Canis lupus familiaris: one gene and its partner. The protein of the gene in region 2 purifies or fractionates together with the protein of the main gene of each other region. This does not show direct contact. Links are inferred from orthologs where the notes say so. Each region holds a gene or a part of one and is shown on either strand. Other genes may lie near its edges.

What was found.
Region 1: the proteins of KLC3 (region 2) and KIF5B purify together in Homo sapiens (affinity purification with mass spectrometry; 3 studies listed by BioGRID and IntAct, with this or other methods). This does not show direct contact. The link is inferred for Canis lupus familiaris from reciprocal best matches to the Homo sapiens genes KLC3 and KIF5B.

What each region holds. Positions count from the first base shown.
Region 1 is NC_049223.1:12,675,276-12,679,828, reverse strand, and holds the start of KIF5B (kinesin-1 heavy chain), read right to left. Parts: upstream 3,017-4,553; 5' UTR 2,565-3,016; coding exon 2,439-2,564; intron 1-2,438. Other genes in the region: phosphate carrier protein, mitochondrial-like, read left to right, coding at 3,017-3,187, 3,321-3,417. UniProt on the Homo sapiens protein: Microtubule-dependent motor required for normal distribution of mitochondria and lysosomes. Can induce formation of neurite-like membrane protrusions in non-neuronal cells in a ZFYVE27-dependent manner.
Region 2 is NC_049222.1:110,906,715-110,911,019, reverse strand, and holds the start of KLC3 (kinesin light chain 3), read left to right. Parts: upstream 1-1,263; 5' UTR 1,264-1,306; coding exon 1,307-1,367; intron 1,368-3,877; coding exon 3,878-4,143; intron 4,144-4,305. UniProt on the Homo sapiens protein: Kinesin is a microtubule-associated force-producing protein that may play a role in organelle transport. Plays a role during spermiogenesis in the development of the sperm tail midpiece and in the normal function of spermatozoa.

The DNA of each region.
Region 1 (4,553 bases), on a different chromosome or scaffold from region 2:
GTAACATTATAAGCTAAAATAGCTGTCCTTTAATTTAACCAGAAGATCGTGTACAAGTGTTTTAAAAACATGTTTAAAATAATTTAGTTTTAAATGCCGCATTGCAGCAATTCCTTCTTAAAACTGTTGATTTTGAATCAGGATTTAGTAAAATGAACAAAACAAACCAAGACATGACTTTACCTAAAGATTTTCAAATTTCACTCTCCCAGCTATCCCTTATAAATTTTCAAACAGCCTTAAAAAATTCATTAAAAAAATTGAGACCTCAGAGTAATCAATGACTTTGTATATCAAAAGACCAGTTCTTGAAAATATGAACTAAACATGGCCCCTTTAGGGCCATGTGACTTCGTTGTATTTCTGCTTAAACTTAAAAAAGAAAAAAGACTAAAAATGGTTACCAGTTTACCTAAAGGCCAAGTGTGTATTACTGATTCACAATTCAATCACCTATCCTTTATTTCTATTATCATTTAAATTTATTTACATTGTTAAGAAACTTAAATAAGGAACTTTTAAGAACTTTATCCAAAGGAAATAACCTAGTATACAAGTGTGCTTCCTGTGGTAATTAATTTTTTTCTTTTAACTCCTCATATGTCGTATTTGGGCAGAAAGTTGCTTTCTCAACATAGTTTGTGAATCCTAAATCTTATCATTCCTACAAATGAATCTTGATAATACTTATAGATTTGTTTGAACACCGACGCAAATCTGCAAAAAATAATACATTCTTAATACAAGTCTAAAAGGAAAATTGTTTTGTGTCAATTACTGCCATAGTTCAATAATCACAAAAATTCTATGAGAAACTAGTATCCAGTTTGCCAACTAACCCAGCCCTTGCAAGCTTCCTGATTCCACGTCAGAGAGCATTCTAAAGGAAAAGGTGACTACTTCTGTGCTTCTTAGTGTTAACACGTCATTTATAGTTTCTCCCAAGAACTTGTTAACAAAAAACCAGCCCCCCCAGTCTTCACACAGTAGCTGGCAGTTATTCGTATGCAATTTAATGACTTGTTGCCAAAAGCCTACCCAGCAACAAAGAGCTATAACATTCATTTTTCTAAAGCTGAACTTTGCAAACTGTCACACAAAAACTTTTAAAGAACTTCAGTCTTGTTTTATAGATCAATGCTTTTAATTATCAAAGTCCCTTCTCCTGTGACCTTCTTTGTCCTATTTCCAAACTAAACTGTGCAAACAATATGCTAAATATGGAATGCCATGGGAGAAAAAAAAATTAACATTTAGATTTTGTACCAGGATAGCCATGTAGAAAAAAGTTCTGCCACAATGGCATTACCAAGAAATATAAATTTAATTTTTAGTCACAATTCAGTATTCTGTAGGCAGTGTCCTACAACCCATTTTAATCTTGAATTACGAATGCAAAATATTTTCAGAGACCTTTCAATACCAGATATCAAACCTCAAAAAAAAAAAACCAATAAAAATAAAAAATAAACCTTACATCTAGGTTTCCCTGACAACAATCAGCCAACTCTGGCTATGTTTTATACTCCAAACGACACTATTTCTCCATCCTCGAGATTATCAAAATCAATTTCTCTTCAAGATAGAACTAGGGATCGAATACTAAACAAGAAATCCAGTTTACTGATTAAATTTTATTTTTTTAAAAGCCTGGTTTATGATACTTTGATACACACACAATAAGTTAACACTCTTCGCTATACTGTTACCCCATAAAACCCACTAAGAGATTATATAATTCTGGGCACTTACTTGACCCAATCTGAGTTGGCTAGATGTGCTAGAAACCTGAACAAAACTGCTCACTCCCATTTCACAAGAAAACTCAGGTCTTTTAACAGTCCTCGATTCGCCGCTTGTAGTACTTCATAGAACGTTCATTCATCACTCAAAGGGCAGGTGGGTGAACTCAGGAAATACATGCATATTTGTAGTTGTTTGATAATTTTCTTCCTCCCGAGAGGCAAATATAGTCCATAAGTAGCTAATCTTTCATTTCCATACAACTAAGTATCTTTACTATTTAAGGTACAGGAAAGCCGATCATTAAAGCTCAGCATTCCTAGCTGAACTTCCATCTTGCACGTGTTACAAATAGTAAACTTGGAGGTAGTCCAAAGCAACAGTAACCGCGCACACGCGCAAACACAGGCAGACGTGCACCCCACTCACTCCCCGGACGGTTCCTGCAGCGCCCCAGGTGGGGGAGTGTCCAGACCCGGACCGGGAGCCTCCCTTCTCCCGGCACTTGGGGCCGGGGTGGGGGCGATCCAGGAGCATCCCTCCCCACCGCCCTCTGAACCTGCAAATGCTGCCGGGGGGCGGGCTGCGGATACCCCTGTCCGCTCTCCATGTTACACCCCGCCACCCACTCTTTGAACCCCGCGTCCAGCCTGGCCCAGAGGAGCTGGACGGAGGGGCGGGCCGGGGGCACTCACCGCGATCATGACCGTGTCTTCTCCCTGAAACTTGGCGATGTACTTATCGCCGCGGTTGACCTCAGACTCGTTGAGCGGTCTGAAGCGACACATCACTTTGATGTTGCACTCGGCCGGGTCCGCCATCTTCCTCACTGCCGGGGCGGGAGGCCGGGAGCCACTCCCCGCCGCTCAGTCTGGAAGCGAGCGGGCCCGCGCTGACGGGAAGGGTCGCGGAGGCCGAGAGAGACCGGGGTCTCCGCGTCGTGCTTCGCCCGGCGGCAGCTGCCGGGGAGCCCGGACTGGGAGCGCCGGCGCCGGTAGCCGTCGCCCGGAGGCTCACTTCCGATCCATCATGGCAGCTATGGCGGCGGCGGCGGCGGCGCGGCGGGGAGAGGCGGCGGCTCCTCAGCTTCTCCCTCTCGGCTCGGGCCCGCTGCTGTGGCTCGAAGGGGGTCTAGAGCACGGGGAAATCGCTCCCTCCTTCCTCGGAGAAGGCAGGCCGGGCACGCCGTTCGCCCGCCCGGCAGTGCGCTCGCCGGCTCGCCGGCAGCTGCCCGACCACTCCTGAGGCCGTAGACCGGCGACCGGGCGGCGGGATGGGCGGCGCGCGAGGAGCAGGGCGCACGCGCGACGGTCCCGGCCGGTGCCGACCAATCCGCGCCCGCCTGCCGCGCAGCCGCCTTGCCGCCGCTCTCCGCCCGGAGCCGCCGAGCCGAGTTTTACCCGCGGCTCCTTACGGACCTAACTTGGGCTCCGCCGGCTGCGAGGTGTCTCGGAGCCAGGGCACACGCGCTTGGCTTTCCTTTCTACAGGGGTCACGGGGTTTGTGAAAACTACCTTATGTTGTAGTCAACTTAAATGCAGTGCTGTATTCCTAATAAGGAAGTGTTTGGTCTGCAGATAAAATTGGTTCCTAGTTCTCAGGGCGCTTTGCCAGAGAAGGGAAGATTTGAACCTAGGGCGAGGCCCGGCTCTGCGGTTGAAGCTGTCGTTCGAAGTGCGTGGGAAGGGGATCAAGAAAGATAAAGGAAGTTTCTGTTAAGGAATGAAGAAGATTGAGCGCCCGGGTGGCTCAGTGGTTGAGCGTCTGCCTTTGTTTTGTATATATGTATTTTTTATTGGAGTTCAATTTGCCAACATATAGTATAACACCCAGTGCTCATCCCGCCAAGTGCCCCCCTCAGTGCTGGTCACCCCCCCCCCCACCTCCCCTTCCACCACCCCTTGTTTGTTTGCCAGAGTTAGGAGTCTCATGTTTTGTCATCCTCTCGAATTTTTCCCAATCATTTTCTCTCGTTTCCCCTTTAATCCCTTTCACTATATTTTATATTCCCCATATTAGTGAAACCATATAATGATTCTCCTCCAATTGACTTACTTCACTCAGCATAATACCCTCCAGTTCCATCCACGTTGAAGCAAATGGTGGGTATTCATCGTTTCTAATGGCTGAGCAATATTCCATTGTGTATATATATATGATATATATATATATATATATATATATCATATATATCACAGATTCTTTATCCATTCATTTTTCGGTGGACACCGAGGCTCCTTCCACAGCTTGGCTATTGTGGACGTTGCTGCTACAAACATCGGGGTGCAGGTGTCCTGCCATTTCACTGCATCTGTATCTTTGGGGTAAACCCCCAGCAGTGCAATTGCCGGGTAGTAGGGTAGCTCTATTTTTAACTCTTTGGGGAACCTCCACACAGTTTTCCAGAGTGGACTCACTCCCCGGACGGTTCCTGCAGCGCCCCAGTTCACATTCCCACCAACAGTGCAAAAGGGTTCCCCCTTTTTAAAGATTTTATTTATTTATTCATGAGAGTCATATATATAGAGAGACGCAGAGGGAGAAGCAGGCTTCATGCAGGGAGCCCCACGCGGACCGATCCAGGGTCTCCAGGATCACACACTGGGCTGAAGGCCGCACTAAACCTCTGAGCCGTCCGGACTGCTGCAGGGCTCCCCTTTTTGAACTTGGCGACAACAGCTTTTTGCAAGACATCTATGAAGGCAAGTGAAACAAAAGCAAAAATGAACTATTGGGACTTAAGATAAAAAGCTTCTGCACAGCAAAAGAAACAGTCAACAAAACTAAAAGACAACCTATAGAATGGGAGA
Region 2 (4,305 bases):
TGTCCATCGAAAGATGAATGGATAAAGAAGATGTGGTTTACTATACAATGGAATATTCCTCAGCCATTAGAAATGACAAATACCCACCATCTGCTTCGACGTGGATGGAACTGGAGGGTATTATGCTGAGTGAAATAAGTCAATCGGAGAAGGACAAACATTATATGGTCTCATTCATTTGGGGAATATAAAAAATAGTGAAAGGTAATAAAGGGGAAAGGAGAAAAAATGAGTGGGAAATATCAGAGAGGGGGACAGAACATGAGAGACTCCTAACTCTGGGAAACGAACAAGGGGTAGTGGAAGGGGAGGTGGGTGGGGGTGGGGGTGACTGGGTGACGGGCACTGAGGGGGGCACTTGATGGGATGAGCACTGGGTGTTATGCTATATGCTGGCAAATTGAACTCCAATAGTTTTTTTTTTTAAAGAAAAAAGGGCCAGTAGGGAAGGCCTCTCGGAGGAAGCGGCCTTTGTGAAGCTACCAGACTAACGAATGGCGTCTGTGGGAATAGGGGGGGCCCAGGCAGCGGGCACAGCCGAAGGCAAGGCCGGGCGGCGGGCGCTGCTAGAAAGCCCTCGGCCTGGGATCCCTAGTTTCCAAGGGTCGAGCTGCGCTGCACCCCGGCTTGGCAGCCTCCAGCGCGCTGGGCTCGCGCTCAGATTCGACGGGCCCGACAGGCACGCGGAGGGCTTCGCGGGTCCGCTGCTGCGCTGGCGCTTCCCCCGCGGCGGGCGGGCTGGGCTCCGCGGGAGCGGCGGGGGGCGGGGCGGGCTCACCTGCGGGGGCGGGGCTTCCGCCCGCCCCGCCCCTCGGAGGAGCCGCCCGCGGCCCGAGACCCAGGGCGCAGCTGGGAGCCGCCGGGCGTGCGCGGTGTGCGGGACGCGGCCCGGCGCATCTCGGCGGAGCGGGTCCCGGAGCCGCCGGCGCTCAGGTGGGCCCCTCGAGTGCTGGGCGGGGGAGTCCCGGGGACCGCGAGGATGGGGGCGGAGGGTGAGGGCTGGGCCCCGCGCACCCTGGGGCCCGCTGGCCTGGCGACGGGGACGGGCCTTGGGGCTCCTGGGCCCCCTGGGCCCTCCTGCCCCGCCCTGGGGCCCCCCCTCCCGGGTCCCGAGGCCCAGCTGGGGCCGCGCCCCCTCCCCGGTGCGCAGGTAAACAGGAGCGAAGACGGGGCGGGGCCTGGGGGGAGGAGGGCGGGGGCCCTTGTGACGGCGGGGGTGGGGAAGCCGGGGTGCGCGGGGCTGGGCCAGGCCGGCCGCGGTAAGGTGTGCGGTTTAGGGGGCTGGCCTGCAGGTGCGGGCGTGGAGATGGGGCGTATGAGAGGCGGTGTGCGAGGCTCAGGTGTGTGTGATGGTGTACGAAGCTCAGGTGTGTGCGCGACGGGCTCCGGCGGTGGGTGCGGGCGAGGAAGGGACAGGGATGGTCCGTGTAACCGTGTGCGGGCGCCCAGGGACTGTGGGAACGACGTGGAGCTGTCTCAGATGCAACACGTGGGCGGACCTCTGTGCGTCTAATGATGGGGGTGGGGGCCGTGTGTATGGGAGGGAGTTGCTCTGTTTATAGGATTAGGTGCGTGACTCAGAGCTTGCGTGGCTGGGGCGGTCTTTCTGCCTGTTAAGGCGCGGGGAGCCGCAGGGAGGTGGGCGATGTGGGACCCGCATGGACGGGGAGGGTGTGCCTGGGATTAACACTGTCAGCTGTGCGGTTGTACGTGTGTGAAAGGGAGTTTGTTGTTCACGGGACTGAGTGTGGGCAAAAATCATGGGAATAATGGAGCTGTCTGAATGACTCCATGAACGTGTGATCGTAACTTTGTGGGGCTTGTGTGTGACACGGAGTATGGTGAGACATGTACACACATATATACGTATAGTGAGAGAGACTGGTGTCTGCACACACGTATATGTAGAGATTGATGGCAGGGGAGAGCCTGCAGTGTAGAAAATCCGTGGATTATGTGCCTGCCTTCCTGTGTGTCTTGGTGTATGATGTTCGTGAGCAGGTAAGTAGGTACCCAAACCACTAGGCTGCTTACGGCGCCCTGGTGGCTTGAGTGAGGCACATGCCCGAGAGGGTCTATGCAAACACCTCTCTGTGTCTCCACAACTGAATCTGAGTTCAGGAATTGTCTGTATGTCCGTGTTTGAAGCTCTGTGTATCTGTGTGTATGCTGTGTGCAGGTGCGTGAATCTCTGGCTGGCCGGGCAAGGTGTTGGGGGAAGTGGGGAAGGAGATGATAGGTCCACAGTGAATCCCAAGAGTGTGTGTGTGTGTGTGTGTGTGTGTGTGTGTGTGTGTGCGCGCGCGCGCGCATGCGTGCCTGGAGGAGGTGATGGGCATGTAATGGAGAGCTAGCTGCTTGCAGGACCTTATAAGTGCGGGAAAGGTGTGTCATGGGGGTAACTGCAAAGAGATAGCCTGAATGTGAGTGATTTGGGATTTGGTTATCTTTTCACTAGTGAGGGGGGACAGAGTTTCTGTGTGTGTTGGCTTTTTTTCCCAAGAGGAAAATACACCAGTGTGTGGGATTATATTTCCAAGAGGGGAGAGCATACATGTGTTGTTTCTGAAAGAGTATGTGGGTGTGCGTGCACGAGCCTGAGTAAGTGTGTTGCGTTTTTTTTTTTTTTTTTTAAGATTTTATTTGAGAGAGAGAATGAGCCAGGGGAAGAGCAGAGGGAGAGGGAGAAGCCTATTGTGGGACCCAATTCTGGAACCCCTGGATCATACTTGAGCTGAAGGCAGGCGCTTAACTGAGCCACCCAGGCACCCTTGGATTAGGTTTTTTGAAAGGAAAATGTGGATGTGTAGGATTGTATTTTTATTTTTTAGAGGAGAAAGAGAGTGTCCTGTATGTCTTGCTTCAGAGAAAATGTATATTATGTTTTTAAGAAAGAAAGGAGTGTGCATGTTGAGCCGTCTTCTTGTAGAGGGGAGTGTGTGTGTGTACGAGCAGGTGTGTTTCTGAGAAAGTACGTATATATTGCACTGCATTTGAAAAAAGAAAGAGCAGGTATTCAGTTTCTGAGAGGAGGAGAACGTGTGTGTCGCATTGTGTATTTAAGAAGGGAGGGTGTGCGTGTGTTGGGGTCTGTTTCTGGGAGGGGAGTGAGTGTGCTTGTGTGTGAATACAGAGGCTACAGAGGCTCCAGCAGCTGTGTCATTGACTTTGTCACCTACATACAACCACATAAAGTGCCACACATGAGACCCCCACCCATTAGCATCTAGGCCTCAGACTCTGAGCTGTCACAGGGCTAGTGTGACATCCATGGGCCGTGCCTGTCACACGTGTGTCCCAACATGCCTTGGGCTGGCGGAGCCTGTCTGCAGTGGAGGGTGGAGTCCTTGTTCCCTTGGGATCCATCAGGCCCTGGGAGCTGACACACAGGCACCCCCCCATCCCCCTAAATCTAGAGGGCTCCTCTGCTTCCAGTGCCCCAGCCCCTTGGCCCTCTCCTCCGGCCCCACCCCTCCAGCCCCAGTGGTCCGACTGGTTCCCAACAAAAACACCCTAAGAATGAGCTCACGGAGAGGCCGCCTCCACATGCCCCGCCCCACACACCCAGCAGAGGCGTGTGCCTCCAGTCCAGGTCACACGGGGAGTCCTGGGGCCAGGTATCTGGGGCCCTTGGGATAGACAGGGCTGGCCAGGTGAGCTGAGGGCAGGTGAGAGGCCACGAGACCACTGGTTGCCCCAGATTTTGAGTGGCCCTCAGGGCAGGGCCCATGGCTGAGGACAGGCAAAGCTAGACTAGAATGTTTCCAGTTGCCAGCTGGCTGGGATGGGTGCGGGACAGGGAGCCGGCCAGGGTGAGGAGGGACTGATGGGCCTGCTTGCCTGGCCCTGACCCCCCAATCCCTGCTACCCACCCCAGGAACAGCAATGTCCGTGCAGGTGGCAGCCCCTGGAAGTGTGGGGCTGGGCCCGGAGCGCCTGAGCCCCGAGGAGCTGGTGCGGCAGACGCGACAAGTGGTGCAGGGGTTGGAGGCCCTGCGAGCAGAGCACCATGGCCTGGCCAGGCACCTGGCGGAGGCGCTGGCAGGACAGGGCCTGGTGGCTGGCTTGGAACTGCTGGAAGAAAAGCAGCAGGTGGTGAGCCACGCGCTGGAGGCCATCGAGCTGGGACTGGGCGAGGCCCAGGTATGGGGGGGGGAGCAGCTATCCAGCCATGGGGGGGGAGGCTCAGAGCTGGGAGGAGGCCCGGGATGAGGGAGGCAAGTATGTAGGGGGTGATGAGCCTGGAGCAGGGGAGGCCTAGGGGAGCCAGGCCTGGGGAGGAGGGGTTCTAGGCTGGAAATGGGA